Linked DNA regions of Bombyx mori. The protein of the gene in region 3 interacts with the protein of the main gene of each other region in a biochemical or structural test. Links are inferred from orthologs where the notes say so. Each region holds a gene or a part of one and is shown on either strand. Other genes may lie near its edges. The genes, in order: tubulin-specific chaperone D; retinal rod rhodopsin-sensitive cGMP 3',5'-cyclic phosphodiesterase subunit delta; ADP-ribosylation factor-like protein 2.

Region 1 (5,543 bases), on a different chromosome or scaffold from region 3:
CTTAACGGTGATAGACGGCAAAATAACCTCATATTTGTCAGAAACATTTTCTGCTGTCTGTGATATTTGCAAAGCAAAACTGTCAGGGCTTTTTGGAGACACTTGCTTGTCAAAGAGAAAATAATGAAGAAATATTCCAGTATGCGGTTTACTTATAGATGTTGTCAAGCAAGAAGTAGGAACAACCAATTATGGCAATACTGCCAGAAGATTTTTTAGGGATGCAGAAGGAACAGCCCGCATAACAGGAATACGTAAAGATTGAATAGAGTGGTTTCACGTGATTCTTCAGACTGTTGCATCTGGAGAGCGCGTGGACCTTTCCAATTTTTCCGAATTTTGTAGATATACTGCAGAATTGTATGTTAATTTATATCCCTGGTATTATATGCCTTTCAGTATCCATAAATTGTTGGCTCATGGCGGTGATATACAATAATGAAGAACTTTGGTGCCATTCGAATAGATAAGCTCTCGGAAGAGGCAGCGGAAGCTCTCAATAAAGATTTTCGAAATATACAGAGAGTTGTTCTTCTAGAAAAATAAGTAGAACGTCGACTAATGAGGATATTTTACACAATCTTCTTTTGTCTTCTGGCCCAAAAATCGAATGGTGAAACAAAATATATAAAACTTAGAGCGATTGCTTAATTAGAGACCTACTAAATGTATTGTTGTTAGGTATTCTGTAATTATGGGTATCATTACGTGCTTTTACTTACTATCCATATCAAATTTAACTTAAAAGCACTTACGAAAAAAATATATAAAGGTTTTTATTCCATGTATTTATTCATTTTTTTCGATCCATTTATTTGGCAGAGTTGCTACTTTATGCACATGTTCATAGCATCAAATGATAGTAGACTAGACAAGGTGTAAGGAAAATAAAGTTTCAAAGCGGGACCTTGCGGTACTTAGCAGGAATTTAATATAATGTGACCCGCTCCATACAAAAAAATCACAAAACACATTTTTCTGACCAAACTATAAAGTTTTTGTAATTTTTTCCCAAAACAATTATTATTGAGATTAACGAGCTCTATCTATCTACATAAAGAAAAATGTTAAAAAACAAAGTTGGTCCCTAAGTCACTAAAATCATAGTATCGACCCACCGTGCATCGTGCTGTTTCGCTACTCAATGGCGTGCTAGCCTATGCTCCGGAAATGGATATATTCCATGATGGTTTGCAACGATTTATTGTTGTTGTCAGGAATTACTTAAGCTAATTATTAATACCTTACAAATGTTTTGGTTTATACTGTTAATTTGTAAGTAGACTAATTAAATAAATAAATAAATCTAGATAAATGTGTATATATTGGCAATATCTGAAGAAGTGGAATGAAGTTCAGGGCCTTGATACAAAGATGGTTACTTAAGGCTCCAAGTATTGACTGTTTGTTCACCCAATCCCTCAAATACAAGACCAGACCATGCATAAGCAAAGGGTGGCAGATTCTAATTTTGAAATAATAAAAAAGCTATTTCTCTATAGAAATAGCCTATGCTTACCAATTCTTTGGACAATTTTAACTCCATATTTTCTAACAAGCATAGCATTATGATGCTTATAGTTTTGGTTCGTAACCCATTCAAGTAATTTAGGTGCATATGGTAGTAAATCATCTCTTTTCCCGTGCTTCAGAACAGCTGCAACAGCAGCTAAAACCCCGTAGTGTATAGTGTTCTCTTCATTTAAATTTGAATTCAGCTCACAGGCCCAATCAAAGAATGCACCCATATATAATTCTTTCACATCTGACCTGCAGGTTGTATATTTATATATTGAGATTTATATAAGGCAAGTTAAAATAAGCACCATTGGTACCAACTACATATATCTGTGGGCAGCAGGAGCCACTTCATTTCAGCAAAGTAAAGTCAATATTTCATCTTCAAAATTAAATACTATATGTATTGTATTTGTCATTAAACAAGTCATAGATTTGACTGGACCTCTAGTTAATCAGAATTTTTGTCATTTTATCATTGCCGAATTTCAATAATAATAAATAAAAGGTTTACCTTGTAAAAAATTTAGAGGCTAAATAAGCACTGGCTTCAGCACATGAATCTTTGCTAAGTGCATATGTTTTACAAATATTAAAGATTCTTTCCATGACTGTTAATTTTTTCGAAGTGCCTGCTTCTGAAAAACATGTGTTACTCATTTTGTAATCATGAATAAAACTATCACTTTTAAATTTCGAAAATTTTATGCCACTGAAAGTTTTAGATATTAAATTACAAAATTGCCAAAGCAATTTTTTCCATTTTGTTATTCTAAAAGAATGATTCTCAATTACTGCACTATGACAATTTTGTGGCCCACCTAATTCTTCTAGTTTATGTGCAGCCAAAATCATTACATTGTTTTACATTATCATTACATCATTATTTTACACAGTAAATAGCTTCTGAACTTTTAAAATCATTGTGTGCCACAGAAGAAGCAGTTGAGAATTACTATTCCAACACAAAAAAAAATAATGTTTGTCATTCTATAACACAAGACAGTCTCTTTATGAAATCATGTCACAACTACTGCTATTTTTATACATGAAAGACAGATTAACATTCAACCACTTATTATTCATTATTAAAATATCATAAGGTAGGTATGTATTGGTCATTGATAGATGTTCTATAACATACCTGGTTGTCCAGGAGCGAATCCATCTAGGCGACTCATATGAAATGGAATAATAACAACAATTGACAACCATAACAGTAAGACAAATCTGCTTCTCCATGTTTCCTTATCATCAGGATTTTGAGCTTCCAAAAATACCAATACAGTCAGCAAATCAGACACCTAAAAATTATACATTTCTCTTTAATAAAATCCATTGTTATGTCATGGACTCATATCAAACAATTTAGTTTACATACTAACTTCATGTGGAAGATGTCTAACAACCACCTTATAGCCTCGAACTCTTATGATTTGGTACATGTAATTAAAAGTTGCATGTTTCAGTTCGAAAGGAGAATCTTTATCTTTGATAAGTAACAAAAATTTCGATAGAATTTTGTCTAAATGTGGATCCAACAGATGTGGTTGTTCATAATACTGTTTAAGTATTGTGTAAAGTTTATCGTACTCCACTTCAAAAGCAGAGGTGTTATAAACATTTTTTACATTATCAATCATGTTCATCACATCCTCGACCTCTGAAAAGTATTCGAGTGCACATCCCAGCCCAATATTATCACATTCGTCATCCCGGTTAATCTCAGAGTCTAACCCCACCATTTTTTTTCTTTTATGTACTCTTTTCGCGAAAAAGGTTTGACTTCGTGAGTTATTATTAATGATTTGAATTACTAAGCACTAAATTTCGTAAATAAAGCTCATATCTTCAACTTTTAGGAATAAAAACAATAGTAGGTAGACACTGTAGACAGTTGACAAATTGACAAGTCACTAAGGGTGAGACCGATATATTAGTATTCATTAAGATATTCGTAATACAGCTTGTATTCGTGTATCGGTAATCCGTCGAATTCTGATATGCTAATATTCCGTATTCACTTTATTCATAATATTAGCCAACTCACATCGGTCGGGTTGTATCTATCACTCTGAAATATACTGGCATACGCCGTACGTGTCTCGCGGATATCTGTCTATCACATTCATAACAATACTGCATGCGCTAAGAGGAAGTGAAATAAACTATATTTTTACATATTGAGCAATGAAAATAAGTACATATCATTATGAGTTTATGGACTATTTTTTAATTCAACTTTTTACATGTCAAAGATGCTAGTGGGAATTTTTAAACGCATTACTTTTTAATGTTTGGACCTTCATTTCTTGATTCAACTAGAGATTCTACTCAAGGCAAAGTAGTACATTTTTACATTTATTGGAATAAAATCGGGGAGCTTTATTTTCATTACTTTAATTTTATTTTCTGTTGCCTTCGAATTAGTTGGTTTTAAAATGATGATTTGAAAAACGGAAGTAGGCAGTTGACATTGTTTACCAATTTCATAAATTAAAATATTTTTTACACAAAACGTAATACGGCCAGAACTAAATTAAGTGTTTTTACGTAATAAATTATGATGACAATATATTTTTGCGGTGGTATTTAATTATCTTCTAAGAACTTCTCAAATTATAAATAAATGTTTGATTTTTGAATCGAAATGACTTTCTAAACAAACAGTTCGGGGATTATAATATTATAACTGTTGTGTACCTACAAGCCACTTCAGTACCGTGTGAGAGGATTTTTTCAAAATCTGGTAAACTCATTTCTGACCGACGTACGAGTCTTTCGGTAGAAAAAGTAAAAAAGCTAATGTTTTTATGCACCAATAAGAAATAAATAATATTACTAACTTGTTGTTTATATTAATGTACAATATTGACCAAATTCTGATTTAATAATAATATTCATTTTAATGTACATAATATTACTTGTAAAATATTTAGTATGAAATCAAATTCCTAGATACAATATACTATTTATATTATTAATAACTAATTTATGTGTATTATCTATGATTATTAACTTATTTCACAAATACCGTATTAGGTTTAACTCGTTTACCCGTTTTATCGAAGTATAATACGATATGAGGATATTCACGTATTAGTTAAGGTATATTACATAATGAATATATTCGTATTCGCTAATATTGACAAATATCGGTATTAACCCATCTTTACAAGTCACTATGAACGTTTTAACAGTTTTGCCGAGTTTGGCGCATAGATCTTTAAAGTAGTTTTGCGTTAAAGGCTTATTACACTTGGCTGAATTTAGTCGACTGAATTCAGAAGCAAATTTAGAAGCTTCTGATTACACTGCTCTAAATTCAGTTACTGAATCAATTGTCAGTATAAACGCGTATAATCAATTTCTCAAAAAAAAAGGGGATATCGTTGAAGAAATATTGATTGCTGTGCGGAATGTTAGCAAATATTATGAGTGATTTAGAACCAGCAGACTTAAAAAATTATTTATAAATAGATTCGATCTCGTTTGACCTAATATTAAACCTTGTGACACCATTTATTCAAAAGCAGGATACTATCCTACGATAGTCTATTACCTATATATCTATTATATGATTATTGTCATATGGTATAATCTGGCACATTAAATAAAGGCGACCGAAATTAATACTTTTTATTCGGAAGCAAAAAACAAACTAAAATGTCCTTACGCACGGAGAGCTATGGGACGACTGAAACCATTAAGTAACTAAATGCGATTACACCTACCTGAATGCGTTGCTAATTAGGCTTCTAAATGATTTAGTCAGTCAGAAACCATCCTTGTTACTGGATTCAGTAGACTAACTTACTTAATGCTATTACACTTCACTGAATTCAGTTGACTAAATTCAGCCAAGTGTAACAAGCCTTTTAGTTTAAAAGTCATTTTCATACTTCAGTGGTCTAAGTAGACCATCAGTGAAGTAGAGCAGGTACCTTTATGACAACTGAAAATTTATCTTTAACAATTCAAAATAAAACAAATGCAAATTCAAAAACAAATGCAAAATAAGTTCT
Region 2 (5,669 bases), on a different chromosome or scaffold from region 3:
TTGGCAGTCACAAAACTCTTCGGAACGACATCTTAGATAAATAACAGGTTAACTATTAACCTTTATTTAATGCAGGTTTTGAACCGTATTCTTTGAAGGAGACGATTATATTCAAATAAATCTGTATTGACATATCAATAAAAAATTTTTGTCCAAATGTACAGATTGCCGCCTTTGATAATAGACGACTCATATATAGAACAGTCGTACTCTAGAGGTTGTGATCAGCAAATCTCCATCAAAAAATTTCGTTTCGATAACCACGTTCCCACTGAAAATAGAAAATTCCATAATTAGTATATAATAATTCGTAATTGCAAAATATTTACACATTAATTTAATGCCAATTGCATTTTTTTTGGAACAGTTTTAAAATTTCCCGCCAAAATACTTGAGCTCTGGTCTGACGTTTGACATATTTAATTAGTTGTTTGGAGATCAAGGGTTCTATCCAGGATATCCCTACTGGAAAACATTCTAATTTATCTTGGCAGCGAAATAAATTGTAATCTGATCCTTGTAACCAAGACTTAAAAGTGGACTATTAACCCTAATAAAGAAACTGGCAATTTGGCAGTTTTCACATATTCAGGTGTTATGAATTCTAATTCTATTTATATATTTATAAAATTAGAATAATTCCAAAAATTTTCTTCAGCCCTAGTGATAATTTTACGCAACCAACTCATGTTCTCAGGTCTCGGAGTGGTAGTATTAACATTTAGTTTGAGGTTATTTGGGGCTCTGGTAAACAAGCAACATGATAAATGCAGTGTACCTAGCCTAATGGGTGCCGCACTTTTTATCTTACAATAAGTATGTACTAAATAAATGCAAAACTTTCGATTAATTAGTAGTGTAGATAGGCTGTACTATGATTCCGCTCAGGTAAATATCACCACTCATATTTCTACAGAAAAGCTCCCATATCTGTCGATATTATACAATATGTAACAGACATAGGTCACATGTTTTCAGGTTAGTCACCACAAGCACTTCATAGTGTATTTGGGTTTCAGTATCACCTAAATGTGAGCTGTAGCCTCATCTGCCCATCTATACTAATTTATATTGAAATTTTATATACTATCAAACTTACTTGAGCACATTGGCCGGCATCATTTGCGATTCAGGCGCTGACTCTATAACGGATTGCCAAGTGTTCGTTGAGTTCGGGATCACATAACCAAAATCGAAAAACCACTCTTCTAAACATCTCCCTTTGAAGAGTACTTTCTATAAAAAGAAACATTTAGTTTTTTTTAGTGTTCAAATCAGTTATATATTTTCTATTGCTGTAGGTGTGAGTAGCTCAAAATCCATGTGTTATTAATGAAGTTAGTACCGAATTACCAAATAATAAAATGTTTATCTATGTAAAAATTATATTTTATATCTAATTAGATTGGTAATGTTATATTTAATTGTAAGTGTACTACCAGTTAAATGCAGGATTGGATAGTTTAAATTCTATAATTCTGTGAACATATTAATTCAAGTCAATTAAAATAAACTAGATGAATGAATTATTTTTGAAATAATATGATATAAATATGGAGCAAAGCTTGGATTCAGACAGTTCTAAGTTGTCACATCTGTGGCCAATTATACTGATAGATGCTGATGGTGATGTTATTTTAACAAGCAAACATTTCACACTATACAGTCTAAGCCAGAAATTTCTCCCATGTTCTGGATACCAGAAACATACATATAAGACAGGAAGATGTATACTCAATACTCAGATTCGAATATCAGTTTGATAAATATAATTCCACCTAAATCAAAACTATCATGACACTTTTTCTTATTCTTATTCTTGCCTTTATACAATGATGACCTTTTTTCCATTCAGGTCTATCATACATCATATTTACCCATACACACCCTTTTCACTCATATGGACTTGGAGGGAATGTGTGAAAGGGGTTCACACATTCCCTCCAAGTCTATTTATGACGTCCCCTCCTTTAAGCATCTACTGAACACTAATCAACACTGTCTAGTCTATCTAACCTACAACATACTGTTTTTAGTATTTCTGACTCATCGGCTACATAAATAATGTTAAATGATGCTTGTAGTTGGAAACTAATTCTACTTTAATTGCTTACTATCTTAACACTAGCGACCCGCCCTCGCTTCTCTTCGGAAACATTAAATTTTATTATTGACTGATAGGCCAAGCCAGCCATGTAGCGCGCGGTACGACAATAACTGCGGGAGACGCCGCGGGGCGAAGCTAGTGTAAAAAAAGTTGTCTAAGTTACTCCTTATATCATCAGCTACCTATTAGTGAAAGTCTCATCAAAATTGGTCCAGCCGTTCCAGAGATTAGCCGGAACAAACAGACAGACAAAAAAAAATTATAAAAAATTTTATTTTGGTATATGTACCGTATATATATTCATATGAATGTAGTAAAAAGCTGTTATTTCAATACTACAAACAGACACTCTAATTTTATTTATATGTATAGATGTACCTGTTCTAATCTAAATCTATCCATGGATTCTATTGAGCTGAAGTTCATTTCACGAGACACTACTCTGCACTTGAGAATTCTTTTGGGTACTCTTGCTTCGTGTTCCGCATCTGGACTTGACATGTCCTCATTATGTTGCCAAAGAATTTTTCCTGAAAAAGAATTATTAATAAAATAAATATAAATGTGCAATAGGGGAAAAATTATAACATTGCTGTTACTTAAGTATCTAAAAGTAGTTTGATTTTTATTTAAGAAACTTCATAAAATGAGAAAAAAAAATTGCCACGCTTTGCTCGCCCGCGATATGTTATTACAGTTTTGAGTATTATTATTATGTGTTGAGTATGTATATTTTATACAACAATCATCAGCAGTCTGGTGAAGCTACTTGTAGGATTTTTAAATACTAGAAAACATTTAATAAATCTTGCTCCTGGAGTGGTCTCATAGACATCCCAATGTAAAAACAATTAACCACCTTGGACCCAAGATTAGTCATTTATTTATTTATTTTAATTTTTCATTCACATCAACTATAGCATCATATAACTTTTAATTATATTCTGTTGAGTATATTTAAAAAAACAAACAATGATATACACAATCAGTAACTGACTTGTTTATCTTTGGAAATTGCATATCTAATTTACAGGCAAAACAAATTCTACTACTGATCTTAATTTTAATATATTTCAAACGTTTTTTTTTCAATGACTAGATCTTTACCTGTGTCAGCATCACGAAGATTCATCCAATTACTGACGTTGCAATGTTAAAAAATTATTGACAATTGTTAAGTAAAACACATTGAAATGATGAATCTATTTATTTTTAACGCTGTTTATAATCAATTAGGGATCACATGTTAAATACATCAATTGAGGATGTATTATTTTTACATTTTCAGGTACATTTTCAAACTTTAATTGTGGGACTATTGTGGGAAACAACAGCATAATCGTGGGAAGAAATTCATTCCAAAAGTGATGCACGGTACAAATGCTTAGGTACTGAATTACTATGGAACAGCATTATGTTTGCAGACGATGGGCCTAATAATGCAAAAATACTTTTTAAAAGAATAGGCAGGACTTGGTTTAAAGTCTCTCGACAGTCGGGTAATCATCCAAAAAGCAAAAAAAGGTGCCCTGCTAGACGTAACGCCACGACTTACTCGTCAACTATTCGATTTTAAAGGATCTCAACTCACAATGGCATTAAGGGCAATATAAGAAAAAGAACATATGTAAAGGATACATTTGAAATCCCTTCAGAATAGTCTCCACACGATCATTTTTATCTCGTTCAGTTGTTAGAACGTCAGTCATATTTGCGAAAATAAAAGTTCAATTCCAATTTTATATGATTATGTTTTTGATTGCTGATTTTCTTAACAGCGAACTGAACTGTGTTTATTTTTCTGTCTAACAAAATACTCTAAACAATTAAGTGTTTATTCTATGACTCTAAATTCAATTACGAACACAATATTGTTCACATTCACATTGAAAAATGAAAACCACTTTTTCTGGGGTTTTTTTTGCAAGCTCCATAAATTAAGTCTATGGTCTTTTTTTATGACCTGGTAACATAGACCTTTAGGTTGTTTTTGGCGGGAACGCGAGGAGTGAAGTTGTGTGATTTGTTTTATTTTATCTATTTAGTGTTTCTTCAGGTTTAAATGTGTAATAACGGTGGTTTATTAACTGTTTGATATCTGTGAAAGTTCACAAATGTGGGAAAACGAAACAAAGCCACTGGACATAGCTTCTCGGGATCCTCTATAGAGATTAGTATTATTATTAACTCCATGGGATCCACCAATTAACGTCATCATATGACATATGACATAACATCATATGAATAGAATGTAAATAGAATACAAATAGAATGTAATGAAATAAATGAGTTCAAAATCACTGCGGTCTTAATGGGACAACTTATTTTCCATAGTACGAATATTTTGGTTTTTAGATTATTAATTATTTATTGTAATTAGTGTGGTTTATTTATTGTTTTGATATTTTCTCTGATAATTAAGTAATATCAATGAAGTTACGACTGTCATGTATGTTATTTATATTATCGTAATAAAAACATCATCAAAGACCAAAGTATGGGACATCAACATTGCGGCTGCTATGGTCAATTTTTTTGAGAAATGCTCAGTAACTAATATTTTAATCTGTGAACTACTACAGAGCATTTTCCAGAGTCTCAGACTATAAATTTCAAATTTTAAATTTATTTTACAGTAATTCACAAATGTCGATTCAGTCAAACAGGCTTTTTATATGACAGCTTCAAAACGATCTTGTGCACATCAATATCAAATCGACTAAACCACAAAATCGAATCAACGATTGTGCACTTTCTTTGCCAAAAGATACAGTAGCCAATGGCCGTAACAAAAAAAAGAAAATTTCACAAAAATCTCAATTTGTAATTTTGTACATAGGTACCTACATAAAACACAATAATAGCCAATAGGTAAAATTATATGTTGTACTATGTAAATGTTGTTTGTTTAGTCCAAGAGGTGAACACAAAAAATATTTCTAAAATTTGTACCCTGCTAATGTTTACGTTATCACCGTATTTATGTAACTGGCCGTTTGAAATCACTACAGGATTATTAAGAATTTTCTATGAACCCGAAAAGCGAGTCTGTCGAAGCTTCGAGGTATGTATCTGTTTTATTATTTCACTATATTATTAATATTTAAAAATTCACATCACGTTGACCTTTAAGATTACCAAAATATATCTAAATTTTATTGTATTTGTTTCGTGCAGAAACAAAATGTTGATAGGGGTTATGAAGCATTACTTGCTATTTTAGTACCTTCCTTTAAGCAAAAATAAAGTGTTGTTTGAAAATATATTTGTTACGTTTTGTAATAAATATATGCATTACTATTGTTTATCATTCAGGGGGAGCGAAGCATCATCATCATCGATAAATTCAACCCCTGACATTGTTGAAGACCAGCTAACATCAGGAAATATTATGAAGCGAGCCGCAGCCAAGCAGTTAATTGAAAAATATTTTTATCAACTGCTAGATGGTTGTGGCAATGTTAACTGTGATAACAGATATTGTGCATCAAGTGGGGCGGTAAGTAATGAATATATATTTTTTTGAAATTAAACTAACCACCGATTTGGTGAATATATTCAA
Region 3 (3,596 bases):
GACTTTACATCGACATGACTGGTAATATTATCAACAGAGTAGGAACTTGAAGAACACAAGTTCTGTGATAAAGGTCTACTTTTATCACGGTATTTCCAGATTTTTCTTACAAGCGTACAGCAGCTTATGGAAAGTCATTTTGAAGGTACATACACTGGGTAATATCCAGCGAACATTAGTCGGTCATGTCGAGGCGTAATATAGGAATAAATCTGCAAAGTTGATAAATTTTACAAATAGACAAGAGAAAATATTAAAAGTTTATTCGTATTAAAATGGTTTTTCATTATTTTCTTAATAAATAAGTAAGTATAGCTGATAGCAGTCGTCGTGGCCTAAATGATAAAACGTCCGGTGCATTCGTATCTAACGATGCACCGGTGTTCGAATCCCGCCGGCGGGTACCAATTTTTCTAATGAAATACGTACTTAACAAATGTTCACGATTGACTTCCACGTTAAAGGAATAACATTGTATAATAAAAATCAAACCCGCAAAATTATAATTACTGGTGGTAGGACCTCACGTGAGTCCGCACGGGTAGGTACCACCGCCCTGCCTATTTCTGCCGTGAAGCAGTAATGCGTTTCGGTTTGAAGGGTGGGGCAGCCGTTGTAACTATACTGAGACCTTAGAACTTATATCTCAAGGTGGGTGGCGCATTTACGTTGTAGTTGTCTATGGGCTCCAGTAACCACTTAATACCAGGACTGTGAGCTCGTCCATCCATCTAAGCAATAAATAAGTAAAGTCAAGTAAAGAACTACTAGGTACGTTTTTTATTGTTCTTTATAACACTTAATTAGGAGTTCTTAATGTTCTTGTGCTTTAAACCTAAATTAGGCCTTTCAATATTATTATTATTATCTTTCTTTTGTTTAACAAACGTTTATGAATAATAGGTAAAGGCTGCCCTAGCTTTCAAATCGGATTGTATGAATGCTTTGGCAGCAACAGGCAGTAGGTGAGGTTACGTGGTTCAGCCTGGAGAAAATTGTTAACTAGTAATGTCCTTATGTATAATATAGATTTAGAACAATTGTTATCTACTCTTCTTTTATGTTCAATGTAAATCCGAGGTTCTAGACTGTCCTGGAGATACTGCTATTATTTCGTTACAAGTCCTTATTACCCTCTCCAGTTACCAAATTCCTAACCGTTATGTTGCAAGGTAGGGAGCACCACCTGCCTTCCGTAAGGGCTTCCAGCTGCAAGGATAAACAGTAAAAATATTACAATAAGAATTTTGTCATTACATGTATTTATTTTTAAAAAGCATCACAGTTAATATGTAAATTTATTAAATCTGCATTTTGTAAACCTAATTACATTTTGAAAATGTGTGTGTAGACCTTTAACTACAGGTAACCCTCCTATAAAAACACGGTTTCACTATAAAACTAAAGGAAAAATCCCAAATCCCTTATTAGTAACACAGTACTTCTCCAGCAGGATAATGTTGATTTGTTTAAAATTATTTAGAAAATTACATTATGCACTATGAACACACAGTATATCGGAATAAACGAAATTTTTGCTATTTTTCTATGCATTAAAGGAAAAAAAAATCGGGTATACCTGTATTTTACATGTAACATTGTAACATCTCATCTATATGAGATGTTTCATTCAGAAAAATTACTCTTTTTGTACTGGCTTCTGGTCTCATATAACAGTAACAGGGTTGCGCACAACACGGGACTTTGTAGGAATGTATCTACCGTGTTATAGGAGGGTTACCTTTACTTTAAAAATACATAGGACACTACACTTTCTAATGAACATGGAATACTATCAATACAAACTATTTTAATATTTTAATGAAAATGCTATAATACTATAATGATAAATTATTTTATCCTTTAAATTTTCTTCTTTGATATCGTAAATTTACCATGCAGGATTTTAGAATTCACAAGATTGACATTTCAATCATAAAAAATTAACGATACATATAAAACTTACTTGAATGTACAGCATTTTCGAAAGGTAATTTTTTTCAATGGATTATGTTAAATAAATGTGTGAAATAAAAACTAAGTAATATTTAGTGTTGAATAAGTGTTGTTAGAATGAGCTGTTATTTCTAAATAGTTGTAAATTTCTTATGATTTTTTTAAATTATTACTATGACGTCACAATTTATCTTGTGATATAGTGCTTTATAAAGAAAATAGAATAAATTCAGTCTAGAGTGAATATTCTCGACGCAATATCGTCTAACATCCAGTCGATTCCTTCTAAAAGGTTCTCTCCGGTGACTGCAGAGCACCTCACGATGCGCCAGTGATGAGATTTTATGCTGTCGAGATCTAGAGCCTGAAAACGAAATGTTTTTTGTTATGTAAACTAATTTCTGTTTATTCATAAAAAAGCAACCTTAAAATCTGCTAACCAACATGAATAGACTTAAATACTGTTTAGCATTAAGGAATGAGATCATATAGAATAACCAGTGATGGCAATGGAAAATAGTGACGAAAGGATCAGAGCATCATTTTTCTTCTTCTTTGTCGCTTCCTCATTATTGAGGGTCGTGACCACCTTGGTCCAGTTTTTGCACTAGCTTCCTCCAATGTTGCTTGCATTCGGCCTGCTTAATGGCGCCCGGGACGCTGGTGTTTGTGGCCTCCTTGACAATGTCTGTCCCCCTGGTTGGCAATCTTCCTCGACTTCTCTTTCCTTCCATGTGACCTACAACTATTAGTTTTTCCAAGTTGTCAGGATTTCGTCTGGCTACGTGTCCGAAGTACTTGAGGAGACGCTGCATACAGATCGTAGATAGACGGGTCTTGACGTTTAGCTCCGAGAGAATTGACACATTTGTTCGGCGCTCCGTCTATGATACGCCCATGCGTCAATTCTCGATCGGGTACGAGCCTTGAGGGTACGTGGAGCCACGTCTCAGAAGCGTACAAGAACCATATTCTTGTACGCTTATGCTTATGCTTCTGTGATATAGAAGATAAGGGTTCTCATGAGCTTTATCTTAGTTTTTTTGTTTATGCTGCGATTTCTCCAAATCGTCTCCAATCGCTTCACGGCTGATTTTGACATCTGGGCCCTCCTGACCACCTCCCTGTCACAATCACCGTCACTGGATATTAATGACCCCAAGTACACAAATTCTTGCACCACGTCCAGATAACGTAGTTCGTGAGTGTGTGTCATTTCTCAAATCTCTTAAAACTTTAAAACAATTGTTTTTATTTTATTGGCAAATATGGATGAAATTAAGGTATTTGTATCTACTAGAAAAGTGTTTTTGTAAATAAAATCTTTGTTACATAACCATGTGAATATGTGTAATAATGACCTCTCGTATTTGTTGCAAGGAGAGTGCTCCGGGTAGGTCGCACTTGTTGGCGAGCACGAGCAGCGTGGCGGCCGCCAGACGCTCCTCCGTGAGCAGCGCGCGGAGTTCTGCCGCGCACGCCGACAGTCGCGCCCCGTCCGCCGCGTCCACCACCCACGCTACTCCATCCGTACTCTCGAAGTAGTTCTTCCAGTATGATCTGTCAACTACATATTAACAACCCACAGCAACAACCTGTTTCCTACAATAGTATCTTATGAATGTTTTGGCTTCACCCAA

The links.
Region 1: the proteins of ADP-ribosylation factor-like protein 2 (region 3) and tubulin-specific chaperone D form a complex in vitro, tested with the Homo sapiens proteins (2 studies listed by BioGRID and IntAct). The link is inferred for Bombyx mori from reciprocal best matches to the Homo sapiens genes ARL2 and TBCD.
Region 2: the proteins of ADP-ribosylation factor-like protein 2 (region 3) and retinal rod rhodopsin-sensitive cGMP 3',5'-cyclic phosphodiesterase subunit delta are reported together in a solved structure, tested with the Homo sapiens proteins (2 studies listed by BioGRID and IntAct, with this or other methods). The link is inferred for Bombyx mori from reciprocal best matches to the Homo sapiens genes ARL2 and PDE6D.

The regions. Positions count from the first base shown.
Region 1 is NC_085115.1:7,803,124-7,808,666, forward strand, and holds the start of tubulin-specific chaperone D, read right to left. Parts: upstream 3,421-5,543; 5' UTR 3,264-3,420; coding exon 2,904-3,263; intron 2,823-2,903; coding exon 2,663-2,822; intron 2,157-2,662; coding exon 2,033-2,156; intron 1,771-2,032; coding exon 1,520-1,770; intron 1-1,519.
Region 2 is NC_085119.1:5,232,559-5,238,227, reverse strand, and holds the start of retinal rod rhodopsin-sensitive cGMP 3',5'-cyclic phosphodiesterase subunit delta, read right to left. Parts: upstream 3,891-5,669; 5' UTR 3,817-3,890; coding exon 3,746-3,816; exon of another isoform or gene 3,396-3,745; intron 3,247-3,395; coding exon 3,215-3,246; intron 2,638-3,214; coding exon 2,486-2,637; intron 1,237-2,485; coding exon 1,100-1,236; intron 272-1,099; coding exon 190-271; 3' UTR 1-189. Other genes in the region: ubiquitin-protein ligase E3A, read left to right, coding at 5,137-5,171, 5,423-5,606. UniProt on the Homo sapiens protein: Promotes the release of prenylated target proteins from cellular membranes. Modulates the activity of prenylated or palmitoylated Ras family members by regulating their subcellular location.
Region 3 is NC_085131.1:275,352-278,947, reverse strand, and holds the end of ADP-ribosylation factor-like protein 2, read right to left. Parts: intron 3,517-3,596; coding exon 3,318-3,516; intron 2,321-3,317; coding exon 2,186-2,320; 3' UTR 1,246-2,185; downstream 1-1,245. UniProt on the Homo sapiens protein: Small GTP-binding protein which cycles between an inactive GDP-bound and an active GTP-bound form, and the rate of cycling is regulated by guanine nucleotide exchange factors (GEF) and GTPase-activating proteins (GAP).